Linked DNA regions of Oryzias latipes. The protein of the gene in region 4 binds, or shares a complex with, the protein of the main gene of each other region. Links are inferred from orthologs where the notes say so. Each region holds a gene or a part of one and is shown on either strand. Other genes may lie near its edges.

Region 1 (4,853 bases), about 790 kb from region 4:
TATATATTTTAGTGTGAATCTGATGTTTGTCATTTAACCTTCCTAGGGACAGCAGATTACGAACATATATCATTAAAATCTGTACTATATGATGTTTCTTCCATGATTTTAACTGTTTTGTATAAATCCCAGATCTATTTCGATCTATTTCTTACTTGGATAAGCATTAAAACACACGTTCAGGGACAAGAAAAAAAAATGAATCCCCATGGATCCCCATTTATTTGGATCTGCCACGCACACAGCATGGAGAGCGATAATCAGCTTCACGCTCACAAATCAAGCAATGGTGAACTTTACTGTAGGGTCAGTAAATACCTATAGCTGGCTTATATGTTTATTCTAAAACTTGACTTTTTAAACTTCCTCCAGTTTATCTAAACACCAGCAAGCTGTTAAACAAGCACAAAGAAGAGGCGGAGTCGGAGGACTTCCTTTTTTTAAATTATTGCATTACACACAAAATTTACAGACATTATGTGGGTTTTTGGTTACCGGTAATTATTAAATTAGAATTAAAAATTAAACGTAAGAATTTCTTGTTAAAAGAAGGGCTTGGTATCGCAACCAAACTACTGATTTGATTTCAAATTACAAGTTCACAAAATGATTTGCATGACAAACTTTGCTTTTAAAACCACTTAAGTTTGATTATGAAAAATTTGTTCTTAGAAAAATTATCTTTCAAATTGAGCAAAAGTGGAAGTTTTATTATTAGAACTAAGATTGGTCATGTTTTTATTAACAAAAAGCAGTTTTTTTTATGCCTGAAAAAAATATCATTTAATACCGTACAAGAGAAATCTAGCATCACATTGAAAGTAAAAAATGTTTTCAATTTCAAAATAAAGTTCATGCAAGAAGGGGTTAAAGTAAAATTAATTTATTGATTTGTTAAACTGATCCTTGCTGTTTTAATCCAGCCGTAGTTGAAAGAAATCTAGCATAGTTAAATGCTTTAGAAAGACAAAAAATTGTAAAATCCTTAAGTGTGTGTGTTTGGGTGTGTGTGAGTTTTACCACAGATTGAGTTGATTCTTGCTGTAGGTCTGAAACTATCCACAAAGTCTGATATTAAACTGCCCAAAATCTAAAAATCAAACACAGAAAACCCCAAAAATCAAAGACATGTTTCAAAGAATTGAAGATGTTAGGGATGTACATTTACACACTCGTGTAATTATTCACATACCCAATGTGAGAGCTGGCCTTCTGGGTACAGTTTTCTTATTTCTGTTACAGCAAAGTATGCTGGGAGGAGGCAGGCGTTTCTGTCCAAAATGTACTCCACCACCTGAAAAATGGGCAGAAACGACTATCTGAGAATTACGGTTTGTGTCAAGACAAATAAAAAACTGGATCTGAATTACAGAATTCAAGAAAACGGGAATGATCTGTACCTCCCTGGCGGCCAGCAGCTGCTGGAGTATAGCTGAGCTGACAGTAATGGGGACGGTCTGAATTTTATCCAGAACACCTTTCAACAGATCGCGTACACCCTAAGGAAAATATAGAGCAGATTTTAAAAACAAAACTAAATTCTTTTAAAGTCCATTAATGTCTTTCAAGCTTAAAGGAGATTTATTTTTAGTGCGTCAAACACCTTGTAGTCCACCCCTCCGATTATTTTGCGGATGAGCTTGAAGGTTAAAGCCCATAACTGTGTTCTTTCCCACTCCAAGCTGTCTGAGCTAATGAGAGCTACACACACCATCCTGAAAGCAAATGAATTCATCAAAGGAATGAGTCACACAATTTCAAGCCTCACAATGAATAAGCAAACAAGCTAATACTGTCATTTTCAAAAAGTGGTCAAAGCAGAAATGCACTTTGAATTAGAATCTGCAGAAATGAATAAAAAATAATGTGTTTAATAGTGAAAATATAAGGAAGAGGAAACACTCAGCTTCAAAAAACTTTATATGGAGCTTTTATCTTTTCATAAATTGCATAAATGAATGTAAAGAATGTGGGCAGACTATGATAAATGAGTGTATGCACCTGGGAGGCAACAGACTAGTCTCCACAGCCATTGCAAGACAATCATACAAGAAGGAGATCCTTTTGGGACTGCGCTGAGTGTGTATGAAGCGCACAATCCACTGAACACACTGCTCGTGAGAATCCTGAAGAGGAAAAAAAAGAATAAATATACAGAATATGATGTATCTTTGTGTATAAATGTTTAAGATATTAAAAAAAATAAGTTTAAAAACCTGTGGCAGAGTTCCCCAGTACTGTCTGAAGGCTCCCAGACAACTGATGAGTTTAGTTCTTTCATCCTCTGGAGTGTCCATGAACATCCTGAAACCCGAAAATGCCAGCTTCACTTTTTTAGTTTAGGAATAAGAACCATTTGTTGTCAATCCAACACAATGTTTAGGGGTGAAATATGTTTTAGGAGCAGAAAATAAATTAAACAAACTACAGATTTCTATTCTTTTTTTTTAAAATCAGAACTAAAAGTCAAAGCATTTTGACCTTTTTTCAACATGTTTATTACTCATTATGAATAAAAGTTAGTAACAAGCTTACCCAGCAAAAGCTTCTTCTATTGTCTCAGTTTTCTGAAAGATTGAGAAGAAGAAAATATGATTTATGATGTTAAAAGAGATCAAAATTCAAAATACAAACAACCAAAAATAAAATTTTCCTATTGACAGCAGTCAAAGGAAGAAAATAGCCTTTGCTTCAAAAATACCTAAACAAAGACTCATTCATTTTGAGGATAAGTGCCTTGTTAACAAAAGCATCACCACTGACAACAGATTATAATCCAAACCTGATACATTTGTTTGTTAACAAGTGTTATTCACGTGTAATTTAATTTGTGTATTTTAATGCAGGTTATCTACAAAAAAAAGATAGTTCGCAAAAATACTAACAACAATAAAAACAAGCATCATCAATGCTAACAGATCCTCTGTCGTGGATCCATTTTTGTTATAAGGTGCAATTTACCACGACATCTTCAAAGATGCTCTGCAACTGAGACTCCATCGAAAGCGCCATATCGATCATTCAGAGTGAAATCTGACCAAAAGTCACTACGCTTTGTTGCAAACAGAGCTCCAAACAAACGGCATGCTAATGTCTTTGGAGAACGAAGCGCCACTTCGTGTGCAACTGAAAAGTGATCCGGGTGAACACTTGAAACACACACTAAATAGTTCCGCTACGCTCTAACTTTATGTCCACCTACTAAAAGTCATGTTAATTCAGCGCCATAAACAGTCGCGGCGGGCAACACCGAGAACTTTGGTCTCTTGTTAAAAAAGAAAAAAAAAACTTATGCTGAAGATCAGATAAACTATCTGTTTCAAGAAACGGGGATTCTTTATTTTCAAATACACGCACTGCTTGTAGCCCACAAACTATTAAGGGCACTGATCAAAACATTACTCTACTGTTTTAACTCTCAACCACTTAATAAACTTTCTTGTTTATTCGAAATCAGTGACAACAGTTAGTTTGCAAATTATCCCAGTAATGTGACATAATTTAGATGAAAAGTCAATGGGTGTTTCAAAATCATTGGCTGTGGTAAACTAAAATAAAAAAATGACGAGGTCGTGACCATCCCACATTAATTGCACCTGCTCAGGTGTCGTGCGCGCGGACAGGTACAGCCACATTCCTTTCTCAAACACGGAATTAACGCGTCGTTGAAAGGGGATTTTTTTTGCAGAGCGCTCCCATTCATTGAGCGCATTCTTACCTCTACTTCCTTTTTTCCACTTTTAGTTTAACAGATTTTTTATTTTACTTTCTTTTTAGTTGAGAGGCAACCCGATTTCTTCAATGCGCGTGAAAAGTCACTGGTCCACGGCAGGTGGAGGGACTGCGCAGCTTGATTCTCCTTAAAAATAAACTAACCCCCGCGCGCAAGGATGTGGACAGCCTTCGTGCTAATGAACCTCTTGGGTCTTACCTGCACAGGTAAGAATTTGTTGACATGTTATTGTGTGTTAAAAGAAATCCTCGCGCGCTGGATGAGAAAATTGGTCAAATGTGTCCAAAAGGAGAAATCCGATCTAATTTTCCCAAGGCTTTCTGTCATTTCATATTGACTATCTCCTTTTTCTCAATAAAAAATAAAAAAGCAAAATGATCAATTAACAGACTTTTTTTTAAACATATAGGTTACTTTTAACAGCTATTAAAGAATTATTTAAATCTTTGATTTTTTTTTAAAGACAACAAGTTTATAAACGTGTGTGATCTGGTTGTAAATGTAATAATTTTAAACCTTATTTAACAGTTCAAGATAACAAAAATAATCAACTTTATAAAAAACATAGATGGTTTTTTTCCATAATGTTTACCTTTCTAGATGAGTTTGCTGTTAATTGATCAATAACAAATCAAAAACGTCTATCATTATTAACTAAATGTAAAGCTAAAAATGCAGTGTATGAGCTGTTTTTACACAGTTCTGTGGCATTTATGACTTCTGTGAAATAGATACTGCTAAGGTCCTAAAACTCAATTACATGCCCTTTTGTTCTCTGAGGCTTTATGTAAGTATCATATAACAGGGATTGATCTATAAAGGTTTCTTCTGAAACTTTGTTGAAACAACAAAGATGTCTTCTGTAGGTGTTAATGGCATAAACTCTTAGTTATACCCTTTAAATTTCTGTCTTTATTTAAACGAGCTGCAGCATAGTTCTCTTTATTTGATTTTTTTCCAGATCATTTAAGGCATAATCCACCTCTGCATGTGCATTCATCAACTGTTTACTTCCTTTTATGTCAAGAATGACTTCTCATAGCTGACAAACTTTTGTTTATTTGCTTTAAACCCGCCAAATGTATAACTGCCGTGTTTTGTGCAACAAAACATGAAAATA
Region 2 (4,612 bases), on a different chromosome or scaffold from region 4:
CACAAAAACCTAAAAATTCAGAAAAATCCTTTTTTTTTAATTTGCTAGAAAGCAAGAAACGATGAAGAAAATCCCTCTACTTGGCTCATAATAAGCCTGGGTTAATGTAATAAAACAATAATTGCTAAAACCTTCTTTAATTTAGCACAACTTTTGGACACATTCAATGTAAACATACTGGTATACAGTAGGGATTCCCTAATCGGTTTAATGGTGTAACATGTGGTTCGGTTTTTGAGTGACAATTGTGGTATCCCTAGAAAGTAGCTTTGTGCAGCTAGATGAATTTAAAACTGCAAGTTTTAAACAGGATAAACGTAAAAACCTGTAATTCAAGTCTTAGAATTTCCCATATCTGGACACGCAACCCATTTGTTAGTCTAATAAGTGAAAACAGGGTTAAGGGATGAATGCAACACATGGACAACTTACAAATATATACCCAACAACTGCAACTTTGCTAAAAATCTGTTGCTGTGTTGCAGAATCCTAACTTGCACCTCTAACCTTTCCCTGCACATTCCTTCACTGTAAACCCAACGATACATTTTTCCATCCCTACATTTGTCACTGTAGCCTCTAACCAGGACACTTGGTGTGTCATTAGTGTTTTGTCCCATCCAGGACTCCCCTGCAGGAACCCTGCCAGTGAGTAACTGCTGAGGCACTCGCCAGTCATAAATATTCTCAACAAGCCGGCTGATGGATGGTTTCGTTCACCCTCAGTTTGAAAGGGATGTTCACGATGGCCAATAAAGCCACAGTGAGTGAATGAGAGCTTTTTTTTTCCCCACAAGGGAATAGCCACGAATGAGACGGTGACAGAAATGCAATCGTTGTTTTCTATTGTGTCAAGCTGAGAAGATTTAAGACTGCTTATATTGGGATGCATCTCCCCATGAATGCGTAGAAAGTCACACAAGATGCTTTTAAAAAGTTAATGGGGTAGCTTTAAGTCCCACACACTCCCTGCTTTTTACACAGTGCTGTAAAAAAAGGAAATATTTCCTCACTCTCTTTGTGATCATTCGTTCAAACCTCCTTTAGTAACATGTTTTGTGTACCCTTGCAGTGATTTGTTTAATGTAATAGGGACTGTTATTGCTCCTCAACCTGCACCTCACCTGAAAAGCCCCCAGGACCCCTATGTTGTTGTGGTTCTCAGCAGCCTGAGCCCAGTCCACTGCATGCCTTTCCACTTGACTGCCTGTTGTGGTAAGACAGTTAACTCGCTGACTACAGGATGAAAACTGTGAAAACACTCTGCTCTTTTCTCCTCCGCCCTCAAAAACCAGAGTTGTGCACAAGAAAGCATGACACTGCACTCAGTCAAAAAAAAAAACCAACCCATTTTTTACATATATATTAAATGAAAGTGATATGCTTGATTGCCAAAAGCCATCTTTGTTGTGTGACATGTTTGTTTCCTCAGTGTTCCTGAGGTCATGGAATTCTTTTCACACATAAAACTATTATTAGGAAATATTTCAATAGAAATATATTTGAGAAAGACAGCTTCGTTTTTCCAATTGTTGGCAATAAATGCGTAAAATAATACCATAAGAAGAGTTCCTGCTGGTTAGGTATGTGGAGTGTGCCATCATAACAGCCTTACTGGAGATCTTTTGTTAATGATTGTCAAATAACATCAGCGTTTGGTTCACTTTTGCGCACAGACACACTGAAGCGTGCCTCCCACGGTCTTATGACTTTGTCGATCACAACTGCCTGCCTGCCTGTGTGTGTGTGTGATGAACAGGATTTATCGTACCAGAGAGAAGATGTTGGAGTGGCAGTCCTCAAGGCTTGCCCCGTTAGCCACCCAATTCGCCGATGCAGTCATAATCGTCCGCCTTTGGGGTCGTCAGCGCATGGCATGTCGAAATCCTACATCGGTTGCTAGCACCGAGCAGGGGGTGACGAATCGGTTCCCCTTGTGAGTCTGCCGAAACCAGCAGGCTTAAACCCTCACAAGGAGGTCCCGGATAACAGGCTGTACGGGATGGTCGGTGGAGGAATGGGCGTATTCAGAAAGAAGTGCAGAATGCATCCAATGAAGCCCGAGCTTTCTTGTAGCCTGAACGCAATAAATCCAAGCATGTGCGGGGATCACAACATTACAATCCGGTCCGGGCGATTCCACATCTGATCGCTGACGGAGAGCAGCTCCATTTCTTCAATCCACACACAAAAGACCAGACCCTTTCCAGAGCAGTCTGTCCGCGGATAGTTTCGTAATTAAATCACCATAATCCATCAGAGATCGAGTGCCGTCTTCTGCGCCCAGGAACAGAAAAATGCAAAATTACGCATCAACTTTGTTCTTTAGACGAACCGCATGCGCATGATCGACGGCGCGGAGAAATAATAAACGCGCAGATATCACATGCAGGATATCTGATTCCGTCTGCTCCAACAAGCTGATGCACCACTTGTGATAGTTTTCGAGAATTGCATGCGCTATTTATAGCCTTCTTTCTTGCCACAACCGTTCCTCTCACAATGTAACCCAGCCAGGCTCACACAAAACAGGCGCTGCGAGCACGAACGAAGGTTTTAATCCCTCTGTTGCTTTTCAATCAAACGATCGGGCAGGCTGTAGAATGAGAGAGGGGAGGGGGGGGGGGGGACAAAGTCGAGCTCAGAACCATGAGTCAAACCGCTCAGGCAAGAAAAAAGTAAAACACTCCAACAGCAGGAAAACGGCAGGCGACTGTAGACGGAGGTTAGAGAAAAAAATCCTTCCTTCCTTTCAGTTTTCTATCATTACGAAACGTCCTCGCGCGGCCACAAAAGCCTCAGTCTTGCTCAAAAACATCCAGTACTATTTCTACAAAAAAATGTACACTCGAAGCAGCACACACAAAAAAAGTGGCCCTCCTCGTCTGGCGCCGAATTTATTGACAGGAAAGAATATGTGGCGTGCGTTCGATTCCCCCCAATGAATCCGCTTTCTTCAAGAGAAATGAATTGATTGTTGATTTAAATCCTCAGACATGTGCATGATTTCCTCCACCGCGACTGCTCCTTCCTCATTGTTTATGTCTCGCAGCGGCGTTATTACACTGAGATGGGCGTGCGCAGCCCGAATGTGTCACCCTGTGCGTGCGTGCGTGTGCGCACATGTGTGTGTGTGTGTGTGTGAGAGAGAGAGAGAGAGAGAGAGAGAGAGAGAGAGAGAGAGAGAGAGAGAGAGAGAGAGAGAGAGAGAGAGAGAGAGAGAGAGTGGGCTTGTTTTTACTCGAAGCTCCAAAGCGTCTTGTTTTCTGCCGCAAAACCATCGCGCATTGTGATGTAATGGAGGTCTGAAGCTCAGAATCGCTTTTCCCAGTTGGCCAACTTTGTCATCACGTGACCTGAATCTGGCTTTTACAATTCAGGTTTCTTTGATGCAGCTTTAAGAAAAACAAAAACATGTGAAGTTGTTTTTTTATGGAAAATACCAATAATTAAGGCCTGTGTTGTTACTGCTTATTTTGTTAAGACGATTGATTCTTTTTTTAATACTATTACATTACTATTTACTATTACATAAAGGCCTATTATAAAGGTATACATATATGGGTCCTTCCAGAATTGGAGGACATTTGGGCTTCAAAATTCCTGAAAAGTAAACCTTCACTTTTCTGATCTTCTGCTGCATATCTATCAATAAGTATTAAACTGTCAAATGCTTGAATAGCTAAACTTACTGATCAATTGTACATTTTTTTATTAAATTATATATTTGTTGTTTACAACATTTTCCAAATGTTTTTGCAGGTAACAGGGTCGAAAATGTTATTTTAGCTATCTCTCAGGAGTGCAAGCCAGTTGTTTAACTAGCTGTTATTGATCACCAAGAGGACGAACTTACTCTTGTAAATAAGTAATTCTTCTTCTACCATGTTAAAAAGGTTATGGTAAAGGGTTGCATGTACATTGTGGGACACTTGTTCCTTTGATAACTGTTTTGTTGAAGATTTAAATTTGGACATAGAGGGGGTGGGACAAGGAATAAAATCGCATTTTTTTAGGGGCACTCAATGCTTATTTGGTATTTTTTAAACAATTGTAGGAATTCTTTTCTTGTAGTTTTTGTAGATTTTGTTCCAGTATAAGTCCTTTTTATTAACTGCAGGGTTTTTTTTTTGTTTTTGTTTTTTTTTGTATTTTGTATGCAGAACATTTCATAATGTGATGGTTGCGACATAAAATGCCCTCCAATTCGAAAATGACCCAAATACATATCTTAATATGCTTTAAGAGCGTTAAAATATATACTTCTCATTGACATTGTGAATGTTGGAACACTGTGCAAGTGTTTGCTTTGCAGTAAGTCTTGACTGTGGGTGCAGCATCCATTCACTCCACATGTATGTAACCTCTCTGAGTAGGATTACTTGAGTCGTCTCATTCTAATACATCCTTGTTCTTACGGTCCTGTACCTTATCAACTGAGCTGTATATTTGCTATGCACAGTAGCAAGAAAAAGTATGTAAACCTTTTGGAATTATTTGGATTTATGCATGACTTAAACAGAAAATGTGTTGAAATGTTTATCTTTGTAACAACAATAGAAAAACATTGCTTAAACTAATGCCACATAAGCACATGTTTTCACGTGTACAT
Region 3 (4,890 bases), on a different chromosome or scaffold from region 4:
CGACACTTCTCACTCACAACACTAACCACCACCTGAATACACAGTCAAACAAAGTTGAGAAGAAGAACAGGTAATAGCTTTAATGGCTGTAACCAAACTGACCTTGTAGAACTGGACAGGAGAGGAGCTGCTTCCATCAGTTGCTGCAACCACAATGTTACCTCCCCCAGTGAAGGCAATATCAGCTAATGCCACCCGTCCTCGAAGCCGGCACAGACTCTCACTGGCCGTCAGCAAGGAGCCGCCTGGCTTTAGCAATGACACGGAGACCAAACCGCTAACTGTTACTGCTAACCAGCCTTCCATTGGTTTTCCTCCAAACAGGGTGAGAGAAGGAGAGAACTTCACCCGGGAGAACTTTTCTCCAAAGTTTGTGGAACCAGACTGAAAGCAGAAGATGTCGTGTCAATTTTTTACTGGTTCTGGGGCTTTTCTACTATGTAGAAGGTGCCTTACCATCTCCACATGCAGAGCCAGTTTGACTCCATTATGCAACCAGCTAAGGGCAATTATGGGATCTCTATCCAAAGAGCTAGACAGGATGCTCTCCCAGCTGTTTACCAAGTGATCAGTCATGGACCAGCACTTAATCTGACCATCGCCATCGGCAGAGAGCAACCGTGATCCTACACACACAAGAACACAAGCACTTGACAAAACAATAACAGTTTAATACTCTGAAAAAAGTCAACTAAAGTAAAGCCTACCTGACTGGTCCCATTCCAGGCAGGAAATGACCTCAGTGTGACCAGAGTTGATAGAAAAGACATCCCAGGGGTGCTCAGTGTCGATGATGTGGATCATGTGACTGACATCTGAAAAAGAGGTTCAGGTAGCCGGGACCAAGAGTTGGACGTGTGTGCGTGTGCGTGTGTGTCTGTGTACCCTTCTCATTGTCGTCACTTTTCAGGTCTGTGGTAAACGCCACCAGGTTCCTGCAGGACCACGAGCACACTACTGGTATGGATGGACAGTGAGCGTTCTTCTGTCGCTTCTCCCAGTCACAGACATATGCCAGTTCCATGTCCAAAGGGGAACAAAGACGCCTCGTCCACACCTGACCTGAATGGGAGACAGAGGAACACATCTGTCACTAAGTGAACACATCTGTATTTCAAAGCAGGTTAGAGGTTAGATCATTGTTAAGGAACAGAATAATTAACCATGTCAAGCATTATATTTAGTAAGTTTCCATTTAATCCTATTTTGATCTATTGTGAAAACATACCCAGTCAGGGTAGGATTCTTAAAACATCCAAAACACTATTTCCATCACAGTGGGTTTTTTTTTTTTAACCAAGTGAAACCCACTGAGATCAGATCTCATCTTCAAGGGTGACCTGGCCAAGAGGTCAGCAGCATACGCCACATGAATAAAGTCACAATATTAAACAAATATGACACAGAATGATGACTAGAGAATTTTACAATGTAAACTTAAAAGTTGAAAGTGAGGATCAACAAAGTGACTTGGTAATGTTAGATGGGAATTTGTGTCATTTGGAGAGTACAAAAGTAGTGAGTAGCATGACATTAATAGCCATCAGTTATCAGTTCACGTTAGAAACACAGACATTGAAGGACGGACCGTTTATATTTGACTCAATATAATGAAGCTGAAAAATCTAAGTGAAGAAAGTTCAGACCATTTATGAGGTTTTACTAAAATATTTTTAAAACGTTTGCAGATTAAATTTGTGAATCTCCAATCTCCATTCCTTCACTACAGGAACTAAATTCAAAACTAGTTTTGAATTTACATTGAGTTTAATGGTCAATGGAGCCAAAACCTCAACTATGAGAAACAAAATCTGAAAAAAATACAGAAAAGCACATTGTCCAATTTTTAAAGAATTCATTCGTAAATTATGGAGGAAAATAAGTATTTGGTCAATAAAAAAGTTCAAGTCAATACGTTGCTATTTACCCTTTGTTGACAATGACAGCAGTCAGACGTTTTCTGTAAGTCTTCACAAGGTTTTCAAAAACTGTTGCTGGTATTTTGGCCCATTCCTCCATGCAGATCTCCTCTAGAGCAGTGATGTTTTGGGGCTGTCACTGGGCCACACAAACTTTCAACCCCCTCCAAAGATTTTCTATGGGGTTGAGATCTGGAGACTGTCTAGGCCACACTAGGACTTTGAAATGTTTCCTATGAAGCCACTCCTTTGTTACCCGGGCAACGTGTGTTTAGGATCGTTGTCGTGCTGAAAGATCCAACCATGTCTCATCTTTAATGCTGATGGAAGGAGGCTTCCCTCCAAATCTGACCATACACTGCTCCATTCCTTCTTTCCTTTACGCAGATCAATCGTTCTGTCATTGCCATTCATTCATTCATTCATCTTCTAATCTGTTTTATCCCTCTCGGGGTCGCGGGGCTGCTGGAGCCTATCCCAGCCACTCGCGGACGAAGGCTGGGGGCATCCTGGACAGGTCACCAGTCTGTCACAGCTGTTATTTCCAGCAAATGAACTTTTGTCATTGATCATTAAGTTATTTTCTATCATAATTTACAAATAAATTCTTTAGAAGTCAGACAATGTGATTTTCTGTTTTTTTTAACTCATTTTGTCTCATATTAGTTAAGGTTTACCTATGATTAAAATTACAGGCCTCTCTCATTTTTTGAATTGTGAGAACCTAAACAATTGGTGGCTGACTAAATACTTTGTTTGCCCCACTGTAAGTAAACCTTGTATGTATTCGGTCATTTATTTAAATTCTACCATAAACTTGAATTTGCTCACATGACAGCACCACGAAACACATCAGTCTTCTGGATGTTTACCCCAAGTTTTTATGAACAACGATGCAAGTTTGAATTTCCAAAAGAAAAGTGTTGCTCGTCAACAGTTCGGTTTTCTTGACTTTCTTTACAAACAAACCCAGCAGCAAAACTCCAGAAAAAACGTGATGCAAATGAAAAGAAAAACCCGCTGACTTAGTCTATTATGATGAACTCACCTATTTGAAACTGGCTTTCAAAAGTTAACAGCCAAAACTGAAAGAAGTTTTAAGAACGACTTCAGAAAGAAAACATAAATACGAGTTGGAAAGAACGGCACTTTGAAAGAAACAAAGACCGCAGCAGAGACTGGCGCGTGTCAGGCCCCCGTATATGTGTGCCTATACAGCTGCCTGTCTGAAAAATATGTTTAGAGTACGAAATAAGAAAATTAGGCCCAGACAATTTATTACAAAGCTTTCAACTTAAGTAAAAACATTGAAGTAATTAAAAATCCACACTGTGTCTTCTACAACGTTTCTAATAAATACTTTTATGATCCTATTTTAGTCTGGCTAAACCCGAGGTAAACCTTTTTTTCCCTCTGTAACTTTATTAACAAGGAGCAAAATACAAAGTTAAGTTGAATACATTTTCAATTCTCACTCTCAAAAGAAAAAGCAATACTTCAAAATGCTTTTTCATTTTATACTTCAACCCAGCTTTTTCTGTCACTTAATTAAAATGATAAAGAAAATGGTATTTGACATTTCATTTTCAAAAAGGTCCCTGGTAAATGTGTAGCATAATTCATTTAGAAATGTCTAATTTGACAATTAAAATGGATTAACAGAAATGCTTTTTAATTTTCAAAATGTAGCTGCATTTTTTGACTCAAAATTAAAAAGAAAAAGCAATATTTCAAAATGCTTTTTCATTTTATACTTAAAACCGCTTATTCTGTGTCATAATTAAAACGAAAATGCAAAGAGGGGATTGCATTTGCATTTTAACATCCACCCTGCGCACCTTGTCACAATATTCATTTCGAAAAAGCATTAGCAGAGGGGAGGCGGGGCGATGACGTCACTGCTTTCTCTGTGTGTCCGGCTGCTGACTGACGCACACACACGCACCAGGAGCAGACTGTGTTAGTGGCAGAGAAGAGGGTTTTGTGATGGTTGTGAACTTCTGATGAGTTTCCACAGCTTCTCAGGACTAAGTAGCTGCATGTCCGCCTTCTGCGGTCCTCCTCCTGACGCACCGCGATCGCTGAAGGCGGAAATGCTGCGGCGATCTGAGAAACCATCATATGAATTTGTGTTTCCAGTGGTGTCCAGAACAAAATAAAGACTGATTCCCACATATTTACACATTTATTTGCAGCTTTGCGGTGAATTTGCTGTATTTTTTGAATTTGATGTATTTTCTCTCATATATTCCTGTTTTGATGATTTTAATACTCATTTTGTTAGTTATAAGTTCTCTGTTTTTAATAAAGGAATGTAGGGTGTGAGAAATCTGTCAAAAAGAAACATAGTCATAAAAACAAAGTTGCAAAAAAAAGACATGAAGACAACATTTTAATTTTACGTTTGAATGCGATTTGTCTTTGTTATAAATACGACTCTTGTTTGTCTTGAATACCAAATTTACCTTGATAACAAACTGTCAAAAATACGTCACATGGTCACAGGCATACGAGTCCCAAAACGTTGATTCAACTGGGTGAGCATGTACATTCATGTACATTGGAGACTCTTCTTAAACTAATAGAATTACATTTTTTAGACTGCTATGATGAATGAATGAAAGAATGTTATAGGTCTGGCTGGAAATCTGTCTTAAAACCAAAAAAAAAGTCATTAACATCACTGTCCTGCTGAATTTCTTTGTTGTCAGGTGAGAACACCTGGGGGGCGTATTCCAGGAAGCATGTTTAAACTACCCTGACTTTAAGCCTGAACTCTGGCTGAAGTCCGCCTGAACTTGCTTACTCTGGTTATGTCGGTTCCTAAAGACCGGATATGAGTTAGCGTAATTACGCTCCACTTGGTAACCCTGGGTTAATGCACATGCGCGGCAAGTACATAAAGACATTCTCAATGGATTGCCGATTTACGGAGTCACCATGGAAACGCGTGGAGAAAAAAAGAAAGCGC
Region 4 (4,836 bases):
TGGGCATCTTGTTTAGAACAGCAGCGATCTCTTTCCTGTCGTCAAAATTCTTCCACTGATCGTAGAGCTTCAGGATGACGCGGATGATCTCCAGGATCTTCACACACACACAAACACACACACACCCATTTAGAGCCAAGCGTGCAACACGGACATCAAAGTAAGGTAAGAATCTCACTTTGTCCATGTCCACAGAGAGCTCTGCAAACCACTGCCTGGCATCTTTCTGCTGCACCACACAGGCCACATGTAGGCAAGCTGATGGAGGAACAGAAGCAGTAATTAATCCATCTTTTTGAAATGTGAGTTAAACTGCTCTACTTTCAAAACCTAAGAGGCATTTCTTACCTAAAGCTATCATGAAGGGAGGGTAGAGCAGACACAGATCTGTCCTGTACGTGTCGTTCACTATTCGCCTGGTAAAGGCAGAAAACAATGCAAAGCCTTCCAGCGGAAAAATAAGCTAACATCAATGGGTTTTGTTCAAACGAGGCAGAACGTACCATGCTAAGGGCAGCAGCATGTCCTCCTGCCCCATGTCCTGCACATACTGCAGCAGAGGTCTGTAGGGGTGGTACACAATCAGGCAGCAGTCCTGAAAAATTAAGCCAATCAAGGATCAATTCTTCTCTCTATGAAACAACTCATCCTTTTTATCTAGATTTCCACCCACCATTAGCTCCAAAAGGTAAAACTCACATTCTAGAATCTGGGGGGAAAAAAAAGAGGTTTAGAATTATTTCAAAAAGACATTTAATCATGTTTTCACTTTGAAAATGCCCCCCAAAATTTGTGAATTCATTTTTATTTATTAAGTCTCGTCATCAGACTGGCCTTTGACCTCCTGCTGTACAGATGATGACTTTGTTTGCTTTTAACAGCTTCGCACTTCATCATTGTCACACTTTTACTAAGTGTCCAATGTCCACAAGATGAATGATGTTTACGAGTCACGGCCCTCTGCTACCTCAATCTCTGCCGTCTGAACCCCCCCCCCTCCGTAATTTATAGCTTATATAGCATTACGTCAGAGCCGTCTTGTTCTGGAAACTCTGGAGATCTGCGAGGCAAAAGCATTGAGCAGCAAGCCCCCTGACTGACTTTTTTTTTGTCAGCAGAGTGTGAACATTAGCTGAGGAATCTAACGCACTGATAGGCAGTAATGTGGCAACACTGTGATACAGTCTGAAGGCTTCTCGGTAAGCTGCAATGCAGCACATAAATAACTTTGCAGAGGAAGCAGTTTGATGTGACCTCACCTTCTTGAAACTTAAACCAGTAAACCTTGATGGCATTTACTGTTTACCGTCACATTTCTGCATCGTCAGATTTGTTCATGATTCTTAACTTTTTCATAAAATCACAGACGTAATCGGATTACTTCCACTGTGTTTTACTCACATGATTCATTCTGTAAGGAAACTCCTTTGGAAAGGCATAAGAAAATCTTGTTTTTACTACAAAAAAACAGAAGAAAAAAAATTTGTGTTGCTGGAAACTCCAAATGAAAACAGGGAAAACTTAAATTTGAGATCCACAATGTGGGTCACTTACATACAGAGGTGGCGGCTGAGATCAATCTGGTGTTGGACACGACTCCAAATTCCTACAGGAAAATAAGCAATACAAAACAGATTATCGTGTGTACTAAAGAAGCAGTTAAAGACCCTAAAATGTGTCTCACTTATGATTAAAAATGAAATGTAACATGAAATGTTAAAGATGATTCCACCAAATTTATACCTCAACTTTAGAGGCCAGGAACACACAAGTGGGAGCCATGAGCACCGGATCTATACTCTTCAGAGAATACCTGCAAAATGACACAAGGTATTTAAATATTAAACAAACAGATCATGGAAAGAAATGCTGACGACGTCAAAAAGTAAGAGTAGCCAAAGATAATCATGGCTACATGGGTAGTAAGCACAGTATAGTTAAGGGAAAGAATTTAAAACAAAAGAGGAAAGTTTTTTTTTTGTTTTTTTTGCCTTCCTAACTGTTATGCTAATGTCAGCAAAAGTAAACATTCCTTTGTTTACTCATTGATACATCATGTCGACAGCCTTTTGTTACAGGGTTCAATAAACCAGACCAACTTATCCGCTCCCGGACACAAAAGCTGTTGATGCTCTGCAGAAATGAAACTGTCATCAACACTGATGTAATCTCATTAGGGCTGCCCAATATGTTCACACTTTACCCTCCATGAGCTGTCAGCACAAACGTGTAAAATACCAACAGCTTAACTTATGGAAAAAGCGTTTCGAGCTCCTTACCGGGCGTAGAAGCGCTTAAAGTACACAGTCGCAGTAGCAATGACCTGCTGGCGCAGCTTCAGATGTTCGCCCAGAGCTTGGATAACTGAAAAATACCAAATGAAAAACATTAGTTGAAGTGTGTGATTTAGGTTTTGTTCGTGACTATTCAAGATTTTCTCATGTTTTCAAACAGACCCGGAAACAGACCCAAAACCTGCATGAATGTATTAGAAAAAAAACTCACCATTTGCAAAGAAAATCTGAAGCTTCCAGTACTCCTCCTCCGAGAGAAACTTCAGGTCTTTCTGGCGCTCCTTTATGAGGTCCTGTTTGTCCAAGACCCACTGCAGACTTTAAAAGATAAGCAAGATTACTTTATATGATAAATTTATACAGACGTTTGAACGGGTCAAATTCACTTGACTAACAGTAACAAGCTCCTGACGTGACGGCAACAAAACACAACGAAAACAAGAACCATTGCTGGAGCTCAAAGGAAAGAAAGTCCACATTTTTAGTTACAGTGTGTTCCCCAAGTGTTATTTTTACACCACAATGCTATAAGTAAACTGTTAGCTTCAACGCAGAACAAAAATAGCAGCTAGCTAGGCCTCACAAGCGAAGCGGCTGATGATTACGACAAAAACACACACAACGTCGATATTATTTTAACAAAAACTCACTAATGAGAACTCTGCCAAAAGTTACCCGCCATCACTGCAGTTGAGGTAGAAATTTACAGAAAGGAAAATTGTGTTTTTTTTAACCAACAAAAGAGCGGAGACAGCGAGAAAAGTAATTAAAGTGGCAGAGCTGGTGTATCACGAATAACGTTCCGACGAGCCCAAAGATTGGTTCCGCAGTCTCCTGTAAATGTCGGGAAACACGATTACTTCAAAGAGGGTATACTCACATGTTTTGCATGATTAAAACATTTATAAAACTAATTGTTTAAGATGCCATTTACCATGTTTAGACGTTTAAAGTAGATGTGATGAGGCTAGTATATGAGGTTTTCAAGCAACAGAAGGGAAAAAGGAAATAAAGAAAGTGGTCAAATAAACATAGCATCCTTTATTTCAAAGGGTTCATTGATTATCTCCTAAACTCAATTGAATATTAAAGCATTTGGGTAACTAGAGCTTTTATACCATATTTGTTTGTGGTTAAGTCAACTACAAGTTGTTTTTTTTTTTAATTATTTTATTTTGGCTATAGTTATTCTACATTGTGTAAAGGGTTATACCTAATATAGTCTATTAATATTAAAAAAACAAAAAGCAGCAATTAAGGACTTTTGACTTTTAGCGATTTAGCGATCAGCGATTGCAGACATCTTTTCTTTGGTCTAAACAAATTACGTAGCCCTATAGAAAAACAGGAAATTGTATTCTATTGTATTTATTTAATTTCAATTAGCCTTTCGTGAAGTCAGTGGTGTTCTGTTTTTTCAAATGTTTTACTTGTTTTTATTGTAATTAAGACAACTAAAAATCAGTTTGTATTGTTCATTTTGCTTGTACTTAACATTTGAAAGTAATGTTTAATTCAGCTTTTACTTCAAAATTAATTAAGTCCTTCATCATTCGAAGCACAATGTTCTTTCAACAGCCTATAGGCCAAATTATTTGGCTTGTTGTTGATAGATGCCTGTGCAGGCATTCATACTTGGTATGGAAGGGTTCAGCATTTCACTGTAGTGTTAGGGGAAGGGCCAAGAAGTGTATAAAGACCCCACCTCCTCAGACTGACAGAAGAAGCAAAGGCTCCATTTCCAGTTTCCAACTACAGTTGCATCAACTTAAAAGCCACCATGAGCCGAAGCCCGGAGAGGATGTCTTCATACCGCCGTTGTTTTGAGGACAACATTGCCTCAACATCCCACCTCCGGGTTTCCAGTCCTTCTCCCACCAGGAGAGAGAACCGCCACCGCTCAGCCAGCTTCAACCGAAGTGGCGGGTGGAAGTTGGGGGGGCATAGAGCACTCACCAAGCAAAAACTGACAAGGTAGGTCATCACCTCAGCCAGCTACACAAAAAGCCCACAACACAAAGCCACTTACACCATTATTTTTGGGCTCCTGCAGCAGTTCAAGTATGGGGGTCCTTTGTGTAGGTTCATCCCTGGAACCGGGGAATAAGATGGATCTGGATGTGGCTGCAGCACAAAACCAGGCCTTCAAGTTGACACGCACCAATGAGAAGCAGGAGATGGTTGTTCTCAATGATCGTCTGACAGTTTATATTGAAAAGGCAAGATACAAAGATTTACAAGTCGAATATGCAGCTTTTGCTTGGCTGTCACGTTCACACTATGACAAACCTTAAAACCTTTTCTGTGTTTGGTGCTTACCTCTTGGGAATTTTGCTTATTTAAGAAAAGTATTAAAGCCCGGTGGCAACTGGGTAGGTCTTTCACTTTTGTGTTTATTTGCACAGGTTCGATCATTGGAATCCAAAAACAACCTTTTGGAGGCTGAGATTGAGGCCTTAAAGAGCTCCTATGAAAGAACATCCAGCCTGAGGCAGCTCTACGCGTCTCAGCTGAAGGAGCTCAACAGGGAGGCTGAGCAAAT
Region 5 (3,558 bases), on a different chromosome or scaffold from region 4:
CAAACACTTTATAGGCATTCATTAATTGTAAGGTTTATCTGCTTTTGGTAGATCGTGCAGGTAATACCTGATTTTCGTTTTATTTTCGGAAATGTTTCTGGTCTGTGTGTTTTTGTCGTTCCTGATTTATGCCATGGAGCTGAAGGGTTTTATGTTGCAGCTGCTGCGGGAGCTGAAGCACCCCAATGTCATCTCCCTGCAGAAGGTTTTCCTGTCACACGCGGACCGTAAAGTATGGCTGCTCTTTGACTATGCGGAGCATGATCTCTGGGTAAAATGGAAACACACACTGGAACTGCACTACTCATCAATCACACTACTGCTGTGCGAGGGGAGAGCCAATACGATGTTTTTCTACTTTAACTTTTTTCACAAGTAACAAATCCCCACCTATGCTCAACGATATGTTACATAAATTACACTGCACGTCAGTACTTTGAAGATTTTTCTCTACACGCGGGAATGCGCCCCTTTGATGCTTCACACTTCAGAAAGAAAAAAACAACAACACTCCAGTCTGTTGGTGTCATGAGAAGAATTACTTTGCTTTTTGGTAGTTAAACCCTTTTCCATTTAAGTAAGCAGTTACGACTGGCAGAGAATGTAAGTGAAATACCTTTTACTGCCGCAGAGCTGCAACACTTGCATTCCCCCTCCACAGAAGTGGAAACACATGCTTAAACCATATTGCCTGTAGAACACACATGTCAGTGTGTGGATCTGTAGAAAAGAGTCCATTTTGGTAAATGTGCTCATTCATGGTACAGCTGCTGTTTTCTTGTCTTCCCGTAGCACATTATAAAGTTTCACAGAGCATCCAAGGCCAACAAGAAGCCGCTTCAGCTTCCCAGAGGAATGGTGAAGTCTCTGCTCTACCAGATTCTGGATGGCATCCATTACCTCCATGCCAACTGGGTCCTACACAGAGACCTTGTAAGAGGATTGGGGTTTAGGAGGGTGAAGGTTTTTTAGCTAAAATAGAAAGAAAAAAACCAAAGTAAAGAAAAAAAAATGGATTAAATGTAAAAACAGCGTGGGTTTAGTGCAAATTACCACTTATCCTTTAAAATGCTAAATAGTGCTGACCTTCTTTAACTGATATAGGCTTCTTTTCATATAATATTTCTCCTTTTGTTTTTCTCAGAAAATATAGCACCTGAGCTTAATTTACAAAAAAAGCTAATACAGCTTATGAAGTTTTGATTTTGTCCACTAGAGGGCAGCAACAAATAGTTTTTGTTTAATGCATTTACTTTTACAGTGAAAGTCAAGTTCACAAATTGGACTAAACAACAACAAAAAAGAGACAGTTGCTGTTGCTTATCTTGTTCAAATTTTACTGTAACTTATTGTTTTTTTTATTGCCCTATTTAGAAACCTGCTAATATTTTAGTGATGGGAGAAGGGCCTGAGAGGGGCAGAGTAAAGATCGGTATGCATCACTGGACATTTACAAATTGCCTACAATGGTTAAGACTTCCTTTTAATTTTACTCAAAACATGCCTGTTGTGCAGCCGATATGGGGTTTGCTCGTCTTTTCAATTCACCGCTGAAGCCTTTAGCCGACCTGGACCCCGTGGTAGTCACTTTCTGGTACAGAGCACCTGAACTGCTGCTGGGAGCCCGGCACTACACCAAAGCCATCGGTGAGATAGTCTTCTCTAAAGCTTTGTGACCGTTTTAGGCGAAACCATGAATCATGGATCCATTTGTTCCCTTTTTTCTGCTAGACATTTGGGCAATTGGCTGCATTTTCGCGGAGCTGCTGACATCTGAACCCATATTCCACTGTCGCCAGGAGGACATCAAGACTAGCAACCCCTACCACCATGACCAACTGGACCGCATCTTTAATGTCATGGGCTTTCCTGCTGGTAAGATTCAGCTGCGATCAGAATTCATGGGGAAAATATGTTGCATCTGCTTTTTGCCTCTCCAGTATAGAAATAACGTTTAAAAACTTTACCTCCATCTTTGAAATTTTTTTATTTATTTGCTTCTGATGTTGCTGACTTCTGAAGTTGGTAATGCAGTCTGTGGGTTGTGAACATCAGCCTTCAGACTCTAAAATGTAAAACCTTTTAGTTGGGGGGCTACATTTGTACCAATAATTTCCACTTCACTTGATCTGATTTTTTTCTTTTTCCCTTCAGTCATTTCAACTGTGATCAAAGTCTAATACAGAAATCAAATGGACAGATTGCTGTTATGTTTACAGAAAATCAGCAAGTTTATATTTTTAGATTTTATTTGCTAGTTTACTGAAAAGAGAGTCAAAAAAGCACCACTTCTCAGTTAAAAAATAGAGAATGGCTTGTAAGTTGAAGGGTACAAAAGTATACTTAAAAAGTGCAGTTTATGAAGTAAATGAGGGAATGTCACTGCATTTCCCCTCATCTAACAGATAAAGATTGGGAAGACATCAAAAAGATGCCAGAGCACTCCACACTCATGAAAGACTTTCGGAGGAACACGTGAGTCTTTTTTCATTTTTTGCTTCAGCAAAGTGAAAGAAACATTGGATTTTTCCTCAAGATAATATAGCAAGTGCATAAATATTCCTAAAAATGTGTCTTGATTTCACTAAAAGAAATTTTAAAAAAAGTTACTTCTAATCTAATTGCAGATACACAAACTGCAGCCTTATAAAGTACATGGAAAAACATAAAGTCAAACCAGACAGTAAAGCATTCCACTTGGTGAGTTCAAAGCCTCAGTAATGGAACTTTCTTAACTTGTATTTCTGTTTTTGAGACTCTGGCTGTGTGTTTCACTACAGCTCCAAAAGCTTTTGACCATGGACCCCATCCGCAGAATCACTTCTGAGCAGGCGATGCAGGACCCTTACTTTTTCGAGGAACCCTTACCCACATCTGAGTGAGTTACAGCAAATACGAGTTTATTCCCAGTGTGTGTGTGTGTGTGTGTGTGTTGTGCGAGCTCTTCACTCGGCTCGCATGATCAAGGGACCTCTTGGAAACGTCTCATCACTAGTTGGATCTGAGACGGGGGAATAAATGTTTGAAGATGATAGATTATTTTGCCTTTTTTCTCTGCAGTGTGTTCGCCGGATGTCAGATTCCTTATCCCAAGAGGGAATTCCTGACAGAAGAGGAGCCAGAAGACAAAGCGGACAAAGTAAAAATCTGTTGTTTATTCAAATAGTTTTTTGTTTTTTTTAAGAACTTTGTGTCCAGACAAATAATGGAAACATGTACATACAGCAAAACGTTGGTGTAAAACTATAATGATCTTTTTTTTGGGGGGGGGGCTTTTATTTTAGAAAAACCAGCAGCAGCAACAAGGAAATAACCACACAAATGGGGCGGGGCACACAGGCAACCCAGAAAACAGCCATGCACAGGGCCCTCCTCTGAAGAAAGTGAGAGTTGTCCCGCCCACCACTACCTCAGGTGGCCTCATCATCCCCCCAGACTACCAGGTAAACCATGCATCTACCACCACCATGCCCGCCTCCTCTTTCTAAGCCATGTTCAAACCTCCAGCTCTTCTGCATTGGTAAATGGGTGTTATACCATGGTGAATTCTCGATTCTG
Region 6 (3,209 bases), on a different chromosome or scaffold from region 4:
ACGACGCAACCCATCCAAAATACACCTTCCCCACTGTGAAGCATGGTGGTGGCAGCATCATGCTGTGGGGATGTTTCTCAGCAGAAGGCGTGTAAAGATGGAGGGCAGAACAAATGCTGCAAAATACACTGAAATCTTTGAGGACAATCTTTATCGGTCTGCAAGAGAACTACGGCTTGGGAGGAGATTTGTTCTCCAGGTAGCAAACGGCAGAAGCTACACAGGAATGGTTTCAAAAGAACCGGGGAAATGTTCTGGAGTGGGCGAGTCAAAGCCCAGACCTAGATCCCATAGAGAATTTGGTGTGAGGAAAGACACATTTTATAGACCAAGGGGGGTTTATGAAAGCGACTAAAGGGACAAACATCCAAGGGAGGGAATACTTTTGCAAAAGACTGTAAGAGAAGTTATTGTTTCCTAATAATACTATGGAATGTCTAAAAGTAGTAATCCAAAGACTTCACTCAATGTAGGAGTAAACAAATAAGTAACTGTTCAGATAAGTGTCGTAATTTATGGAATTATTACCATATACTGATGATTTTCTAATACGACTGTCCATATTTAAAAATAAATGATACAAATTTGACGAAACATAAATGGTGACTAATGAGATACATACTTTGTTACTGAGTAACTGTCCAGACTTTAAGAAAAAAAAGAAAATCTGACTTTCATAAATAAAACTGCACAAATTTCTTAAGTGTGTGAGAGGAATCCTCTATTCAGTGAAAGCTGAAGCGTTAAAATACCAGAAATAACGTAACATTACCTTCTCTACAGTGACTTTTCTTCCTCTTTTTTTATTTTTAGAATACGCTCAGCTGTTTGCGGCTCTCATAGCCAGAACCGCCAAAGATGTGGACGTTCTCATCGACTCTCTGCCCAGCGAGGAGTCCACGGCGGCTCTGCAGGTCAGCATGGTCACGCACCCACACTTCCTCACTGAGCCACAAACTCCAGGAACCACCAGCAGCAAGTCAGGGGGAAAAGTTTGGAGCGTTTACAGCTTCCAGACAGCAGAGGGAGCCAGAGCAAAATCTGGAAAGGTTCCTGCTGTCAGTAGATGAAATCAACCGGCTCCTATCAATTAGACTGATCAAAGTCATTCTCATGGTAAATGATACAGCTGCATAGACTCAAGATTGCTACTATAAAATATCGACTCACTGGGACAAGTTTTTACTGAGAATTCTGTTCTTAGACTAGACTTGGCATGCTCTCTTATACGCTTTTCCTTCTTTTTAGGTATTAAAGTACATAAAAACATTTCTTCAGACATGTTGACACATCTATAAGGAGAAGTCTTTGTTTAATAGTTTTTCTATGGTCTGATGACAGAGCACACATCCCCTTGTGCTGTCTTTTGGGGTCTAGATGACCCAACTCCCAATGTTAGGCACGTTAACATTGGGAGTTGGGTCATCTAGACCCACTAGACAGTGCGCTGAACCTTTTTTCTTCAATGATTTGTGATCTTCACTGGTGTCCATGGATTACATGAAATCTTTCCACCTTTATCCACCTTTGTCATGGTAGGGAGAACACGCCAATGTAAGTAAAGTAAAATAACTCTTTATTTATATAGCACTTTTCACAGAGAGCGACTCACAAAGTGCTTCACAATGTTAAAACAATATAAAATCAGTAGCAATACCCAATAAAACACACACAGGCATAGAAGTAAACAAACAGGCAGAAGTGAACACAAGTAAAAGTCAGCTAAAAGCTCTCCTGAATAAAATTGTCTTAACTTGAGCTTTAAAACACTCAATTGAGTCAATCTGGCGCAGAGTCAATGTAAGGGCGGGGTCATCTGGACCCCACAAGATAGCACAAGGGTAACACTGGATCAGCATGAAGTCTGTTGTAAATATGTGTTTTTCTGAATGGACCATGTGACCCGTCGCCAGGCAGCCAGTCTGCGGCAGCTGGAGGAGGAGAACCACGAGGCGGCCGCTCGTCTGGAGGAGGTGGTTTTCCGCGGCGACATGCTGTTGAAGAGGATCCAGCACGCGCTGGCAGACATCGCCCAGTCTCAGCTGCGCACTCGCAGCGGAGCGAATGGCCAGCCGTCGCCGGCCGAGTCCTGACTGGGTCGGATTGAAGGGTTTTCCCTGCATGGAGGACTGGGAAGGAACGATGGAAAACAGGGGTGAAAATAGGAGTGACAGGATACGGAATGAAACCCTCAAAGTCTCGCTTTGCTGTCAGACCTACATTTCAACTTGCAAACCCCTGCTTTTGTATGTTTTGTCAGTTTTCTTTTGTATATTTATAACAGTGTGTGTTGTTTTTTTATTTGTGGTTTGTCACGAGGGTAAAGTCTTTAATAAAAAAACTCATTTAATTTGGTTAATCTGGTGTTTAAAGTCCCACTAATCTTTTGATCTACTTCAAAGTGTTCCTAGTGGTCTTTTAATTATGATAATGCTGTTTTAGCCAAAATAAAATGAAAAAACTGTCTCGTTTTCAAGGACATAGTTTCTCCAGAGTGGCAGGAGTTCATTAGAAATTCACCTTTGAGCCGTTGGATGGACTGTTGGAGTGGAGCAACCCCCCCTCTTCCCGTCACCCACCTGTTTACACTCTCCCCCGCTAGCCTACAACCTAGCATTAGCGGTGACGATTAGCGGCGAGCAACATCGTAGCTGTCCAGCCGTGCAGCTTAGACCCAGATTCCAGCTCAGACGAGGAAAACAAGGTCGTTCATGGATCCGTTCAACTGAGTCCATCAGAATGGAGCGGAGCTGGGAGCTTGTGGCCCCGCCCAGCTTCTTTTCTACGTCACGAGTTTTATAAAGAAACACTAATTTTCTAAATGCACGTTCTCCATCATGAGAAAAAAGCCTCACGAAGATGTTAAAAACACCGTTTTGATCTGAGTGGCAGCACTTCTTCATTTTAACCACACACGCCTCCGTCTCCTTATATCACAGCCCATCATGAAACGGGTTTGGGCCCGGTGCGTGTCTCTGCAGGTGGGCCGCTTCAGCTGTGGCCTGGGGGTTCAGTTTGTGGTCAGGACGAGGCAGCTGCCCTTCATGTCCTTATGAGAGACGAGGCGCCATCGGTTGAGCGAACTCTGGAAGTCCTGGAGGATAAGGAGCCTCAGGACTGGGAGGAGGGGTCCATCAGAAGATCAGCCTGTAAATGTAGAAGATTCCTTTATAGCACTGAGGCCCCCGGGGGCCTCAGTGCTATAAAGG
Region 7 (4,136 bases), on a different chromosome or scaffold from region 4:
AGTGTTTTAGCATGAAGGATTAGCGTGCTCACGGTTTGACCATTTACATGAAAATCTAATGCTCACATTGTCTGACCTTAATTAACTGACACTGCTTAGGCCTCTGGATAAAAAGGAGAAACTACTCATGATTCATTTCTTGATTACGACGAACATTTAAACCAAGAAAGAAACAGAGCAGATGTCTGAAGCAGGCGGCCGGAACTAAAACTGAAGTCCTTCAGATCAGATCCATGAGAAGGTCGTCCTCCATGGCGCTGGAGACTTGCTGCATCCCAGTCTGGGGCACGGGTCCTCTCTGCCCGCCGGCCATCAGCATCTGACCTGAACGCAGGAAAGTGGCAAAAACATTCCCGTCTTTAGCAAGAATCGGAGATTTTCCACTTGATTTTCTTGAAGTCCAACCAGCAGAAGCATTTGCTAATGGACTTACACTGTCTATCTCACTGTTTGTGAGAATGAACAAACCGCACACGTACAGATAAACCACGCAAAGAACACGTGAATCAACGTAGAACATGAACCGTGCGTGATTATTGATTTTGATTGATTTGATTTTTGATTTTATTGATTTATTTCAAGCATTGTAGTCAAAGCAATAAAGAATTTACACATATTTATCAAACTCATTACAGAAATGATGAAATGCATAGATTAAAAAGACAGAAAACAAAACAAAAATGTCACTTAAATCATATATGCTTAATTAAATACAGTGATAATTAACTGAGGTATAAGTAGAGTTTGACCACCATTATGACTGCACCATTATTGCGCAGTTTATGTGCAATTCATGAGTGATTCGTGCTTCAATTATGTAATTCAAATGAGATATGTGCGGCGTTTATATATACAAGTTATATGCGTGAAACGCCCGTTAGACTTACGTGGAGCGGTCGTGGAAAGCCATAAATTTGCATTCCGCAAAAATCGCGCACAACTGCGCAAGATTTCCGTAGCAATTGCACGTAAAATACGCAAAAACCGAGCCAAAACTTTGAACAGCTCAAAACCAAACCCACGGCGGACATCGACAAATGACTAAGACTTTACGTATATCACACATGCATCATGAAAGGCCAAAATGTCATAGGTGGAAAATGTGCAACATGTACGCAGTGGCAGCGTGACGCAGCTTTAAGTGCCGTCGAAGAGGCTTATGTAACTCTGGGGTACTACTGTACAAAAATGTTTTGTTGTTCTACACAATAAAAGCAGCATTTTTACAAAAACACTTCATTAAACTCACAAAAGATCTGCTTTCATTTGAAAAGTGACTATTTTTAAAACACCCTCATAAGATTTCTTCTAAAAAATGTTCGACATGTTAAATATTTTTATTTATAGCAATGTTTAGTCTTTTAGATAACCTCCATATTGACATTTGTGTGGGACTCTCCCCGTTGTGACGGCTGTTTGCTGACCTGGCATGGGTTGCCTCCACTGGCCTTGCATTTGAGCCCCCCCTCCTGGTGCTTGGTGGACCAACTGTTGTCCTAGGCCTTGGTGAGACATCATGCCCTGCATGTGAGGAACCCCTCCCTGCTGCTGGGACACAGACACAGACCCTCTCAGCTCAGAGTTTTCCTACAGGACAGGTGACGGAGTCCTTCCCTGCAGTCTTACTGGCTGCTGCTGGCTCAGGAGGAGACTGCGAAGCTGAGGGTTGGCTCCTGGGGTTGAGAGGCGAAGAATGGGACCCTGAGGCTGCGCCTGGGTATTCTGCACCATCTGATTGGGCGGAGCTCCACTAACCGCTGACTGCTGATTGGTTGGTCCAGCTGTTCTTATTGTCATCTGAGTGAACGGTTAGCAACACAGTTTTAATCTGCACATGAGAACATCTGAGAAATGTTGACCTGCAGAGAAATGACGCTGTAGAAGTAAATCATTCTGTAAGGTTAACGTTTGGCAGAAATCTGACTTTCAGCGGATTTTGGAAACAAAGTCTGAAGCTTGAACAGAATTTATCATCAGCGATTGTACACCTTAACCTAAAAACCTGAGGAGAAACTTCCGCTTTAGTCACATGCACTTCTATGGGGATGCTGCAGGTTTTTGGGTCGTTCGGGCCCGTAGAGGGTCATAGAGACCCCGCATCTTAGGAGGAGCGCAGGTGTGTCTTGCTGTTCCCTTAAGGGACGTCATAAAGTATTGGTAAGTATTTGCAAGGATAATGTAAGTTCCACGCACGTGTGGCGTTCAGGTGAAGCTGTCGTCTGCTGCCCTCATGCCTCTATAGTCGCTGGTAAGGTGCGAGTCCCGGCCCCTTACCGACCGCGCACAGATGTCGCACACACAGGGTGTGCATTTGATACGTGGGACGCCTGGAGGCCCACACAATCTACACTCTGATTGTCTAATTTCCTCATTTCTAACAGTCAGGCTGAAGCGGGGAGCGTGCACGTATCACGTGAAAAGCACTAACACGGCGCTTGCTCGGTCTACAGGATTTGGATAACATGAAAAATCCATACAACCCGCATGCGCCTCACCTACTTCCCCCTTGCGTGTTTGTTTAAGAGTTCGCTGGGAACAAAAAATGATGCATCAGCATTTTCACTCACAGGCTAACTGAACACCTTCAGAATTTCCTGCGGGTTTGACTCCCCGTATCCACCCATAAAGGGGCTGCTGGGACTTTCAACAAGCTTCAATCGTTTCCCATCTTAATCGATATTTAAATTGTAAAACCTCTGAATGGCACCAACATGTGAAGCCACAGGGTTGAACACATATTCTGAACACACAAACACACATGTTAGCTAAATATTCAGCAGTAAAGGCATGCGGTAGTAAAAACAGGCACTGAGATGGTAGTGACAGTCTGAAAAGGTTATATCAGAACTCAAAGAAATAAGAAAAAGTCCAGCCTGGTGGAATCGAAACGTGCTGAATTGTAAGGAATCTCTTTGCATCTCACCATGTTGTTTTGTCTCTGCTGCTCCTCCATAATGGAGACCTGACTAACAGGAGGCATGCCCACCACCACAGACTGGATGCAGCACAGGCCAGAGTGGTGGAAGCCAGAACGCAAAAATGAAGGTGAAGGAAAAAGAAGAGTTACCAGTCAAACATGCAGAAGTGCAAACGTGCAGAAGAAACCCGGTGTCCAGGAGCAGGCAGGCATCGCCAGCGCAGAGCCCTGTCATTTACCTGAGGCTGGACGTTACCGTGGGAAACGGGAATAGGACCAGGGGCCCTGTTAAGAAAGTTCTGGTTGGGGGGAACTTGACCAGGCTGCATTGGGCCCCCAGATGCACCCATTTGTTGCTAAATGACAAAAAACAACACAAACAAACAAATCAAAAAATCGTTTGGTCATTTTTTTGGTTCAGTTTCCTACTCTTAAAATTAGAAAAGCACCAGATTTATTTAAAGTTTTTTAACTAAAATAAGCTGAAATGACAAAGAACTACAGAAAACAATAATTTTCTTATATCTAACAGCAATCAGGGACTTTTTCTAGAGTTGGAAATAAAGAGTTAAATCCAAATTTAGTCTTCCAGGCATCTAATATTTGGAGTCTCCCTTCATGTTTTTCCATTGTTTGGTTGCTAAAAATACTCAACAACAGAAAACTAACTTTATGTACAGTAAATTATGATGCCATTCAATAAGTAGAAAATCGAATCATCCAATCACGCTCTGCCAGTAAACTGTCAGACTAAAACACAAACATTTAGGTCATTTTCATCCTTTTCCCTGTTGGATGCTCGTCATTCCCGATTTCAGATGACAGCAGAAAAACAACAGAAAGACTGAACAATCAATCACTGATCATTTGTGACCAAAACACAAAGCTGCTTCATCATTGGAGAGGAGGAACGTTTGGAGCTCCAGCCTCCAAAACCAGCTGCTGAGACTGAGATTCATGTTTGATGACTTCAAAGAAAAACCTTTGAGAAAAACACAACCGGATTAACGGAATTTAGAAAAAAACAACGTTGTCTTTCTTTAGGTCTTTACTTTTACTAAATTAAGACCAATGTGAGAATAACTTCTTCAAAGTTGGATCATCTTTTTACTTTATTTTCTTAATTTGAAAATCGGAATCATTCACAAAAGTTAAAATCAAAAGAATTTTCCTAAACTTAAAAGTGAAATGATGAAAAAGGAGAAACTGGATTTCAAAT

The links.
Region 1: ccnc (region 4) and med23 share a complex: the UniProt entries of both Homo sapiens proteins name them as parts of the mediator complex. The link is inferred for Oryzias latipes from reciprocal best matches to the Homo sapiens genes CCNC and MED23.
Region 2: ccnc (region 4) and med13l share a complex: the UniProt entries of both Homo sapiens proteins name them as parts of the mediator complex. The link is inferred for Oryzias latipes from reciprocal best matches to the Homo sapiens genes CCNC and MED13L.
Region 3: ccnc (region 4) and med16 share a complex: the UniProt entries of both Homo sapiens proteins name them as parts of the mediator complex. The link is inferred for Oryzias latipes from reciprocal best matches to the Homo sapiens genes CCNC and MED16.
Region 5: the proteins of ccnc (region 4) and cdk8 are in contact, whole or in part, in a crystal structure (PDB 5CEI), measured with the Homo sapiens proteins. The link is inferred for Oryzias latipes from reciprocal best matches to the Homo sapiens genes CCNC and CDK8. Residues at the interface, in NP_005181.2 of Homo sapiens: Met1, Ala2, Gly3, Asn4, Ser8, Ser9, His10, Gln13, Phe72, Tyr76, Lys79, Ser80, Ile81, Asp82, Leu85, Leu93, Lys96, Val97, Glu98, Glu99, Phe100, Gly101, Val102, Tyr130, His134, Leu136, Glu137, Glu139, Phe140, Tyr141; in NP_001251.1 of Homo sapiens: Met1, Asp2, Tyr3, Asp4, Phe5, Lys6, Leu9, Arg13, Gly58, Ile59, Ser60, Met61, Cys64, Arg65, Ile67, Ala68, Leu69, Arg71, Glu72, Leu73, Val84, Leu86, Ser87, His88, Arg91, Lys92, Val93, Asn145, Trp146, Val147.
Region 6: ccnc (region 4) and med21 share a complex: the UniProt entries of both Homo sapiens proteins name them as parts of the mediator complex. The link is inferred for Oryzias latipes from reciprocal best matches to the Homo sapiens genes CCNC and MED21.
Region 7: ccnc (region 4) and med25 share a complex: the UniProt entries of both Homo sapiens proteins name them as parts of the mediator complex. The link is inferred for Oryzias latipes from reciprocal best matches to the Homo sapiens genes CCNC and MED25.

The regions. Positions count from the first base shown.
Region 1 is NC_019882.2:15,918,680-15,923,532, forward strand, and holds the start of med23 (mediator of RNA polymerase II transcription subunit 23), read right to left. Parts: upstream 3,146-4,853; 5' UTR 3,022-3,145; coding exon 2,962-3,021; intron 2,568-2,961; coding exon 2,536-2,567; intron 2,305-2,535; coding exon 2,217-2,304; intron 2,127-2,216; coding exon 2,002-2,126; intron 1,716-2,001; coding exon 1,604-1,715; intron 1,500-1,603; coding exon 1,401-1,499; intron 1,295-1,400; coding exon 1,193-1,294; intron 1,091-1,192; coding exon 1,021-1,090; intron 1-1,020. Other genes in the region: interleukin-20 receptor subunit alpha, read left to right, coding at 3,891-3,939. UniProt on the Homo sapiens protein: Required for transcriptional activation subsequent to the assembly of the pre-initiation complex. Component of the Mediator complex, a coactivator involved in the regulated transcription of nearly all RNA polymerase II-dependent genes.
Region 2 is NC_019870.2:12,442,556-12,447,167, reverse strand, and holds the start of med13l (mediator of RNA polymerase II transcription subunit 13-like), read right to left. Parts: upstream 3,051-4,612; 5' UTR 1,844-3,050; coding exon 1,772-1,843; intron 1-1,771. UniProt on the Homo sapiens protein: Component of the Mediator complex, a coactivator involved in the regulated transcription of nearly all RNA polymerase II-dependent genes.
Region 3 is NC_019862.2:1,605,002-1,609,891, reverse strand, and holds the start of med16 (mediator of RNA polymerase II transcription subunit 16), read right to left. Parts: upstream 3,126-4,890; 5' UTR 2,968-3,125; intron 1,063-2,967; 5' UTR 1,025-1,062; coding exon 886-1,024; intron 816-885; coding exon 708-815; intron 627-707; coding exon 457-626; intron 385-456; coding exon 103-384; intron 33-102; coding exon 1-32. UniProt on the Homo sapiens protein: Component of the Mediator complex, a coactivator involved in the regulated transcription of nearly all RNA polymerase II-dependent genes.
Region 4 is NC_019882.2:15,127,870-15,132,705, forward strand, and holds the start of ccnc (cyclin-C), read right to left. Parts: upstream 3,103-4,836; 5' UTR 2,977-3,102; coding exon 2,945-2,976; intron 2,613-2,944; coding exon 2,506-2,612; intron 2,365-2,505; coding exon 2,280-2,364; intron 1,814-2,279; coding exon 1,744-1,813; intron 1,607-1,743; coding exon 1,555-1,606; intron 1,458-1,554; coding exon 1,402-1,457; intron 710-1,401; coding exon 674-709; intron 596-673; coding exon 504-595; intron 417-503; coding exon 349-416; intron 259-348; coding exon 179-258; intron 98-178; coding exon 1-97. Other genes in the region: glial fibrillary acidic protein, read left to right, coding at 4,075-4,268, 4,348-4,513, 4,700-4,836. UniProt on the Homo sapiens protein: Component of the Mediator complex, a coactivator involved in regulated gene transcription of nearly all RNA polymerase II-dependent genes.
Region 5 is NC_019878.2:17,538,737-17,542,294, reverse strand, and holds part of cdk8 (cyclin-dependent kinase 8), read left to right. Parts: intron 1-160; coding exon 161-271; intron 272-792; coding exon 793-933; intron 934-1,374; coding exon 1,375-1,432; intron 1,433-1,515; coding exon 1,516-1,647; intron 1,648-1,731; coding exon 1,732-1,875; intron 1,876-2,405; coding exon 2,406-2,475; intron 2,476-2,627; coding exon 2,628-2,700; intron 2,701-2,780; coding exon 2,781-2,878; intron 2,879-3,060; coding exon 3,061-3,139; intron 3,140-3,284; coding exon 3,285-3,443; intron 3,444-3,558.
Region 6 is NC_019881.2:3,903,255-3,906,463, reverse strand, and holds the end of med21 (mediator of RNA polymerase II transcription subunit 21), read left to right. Parts: intron 1-813; coding exon 814-914; intron 915-1,913; coding exon 1,914-2,093; 3' UTR 2,094-2,359; downstream 2,360-3,209. UniProt on the Homo sapiens protein: Component of the Mediator complex, a coactivator involved in the regulated transcription of nearly all RNA polymerase II-dependent genes.
Region 7 is NC_019866.2:3,591,203-3,595,338, forward strand, and holds part of med25 (mediator of RNA polymerase II transcription subunit 25), read right to left. Parts: intron 3,274-4,136; coding exon 3,157-3,273; intron 2,996-3,156; coding exon 2,924-2,995; intron 1,798-2,923; coding exon 1,627-1,797; intron 1,549-1,626; coding exon 1,425-1,548; intron 325-1,424; coding exon 221-324; 3' UTR 1-220. UniProt on the Homo sapiens protein: Component of the Mediator complex, a coactivator involved in the regulated transcription of nearly all RNA polymerase II-dependent genes.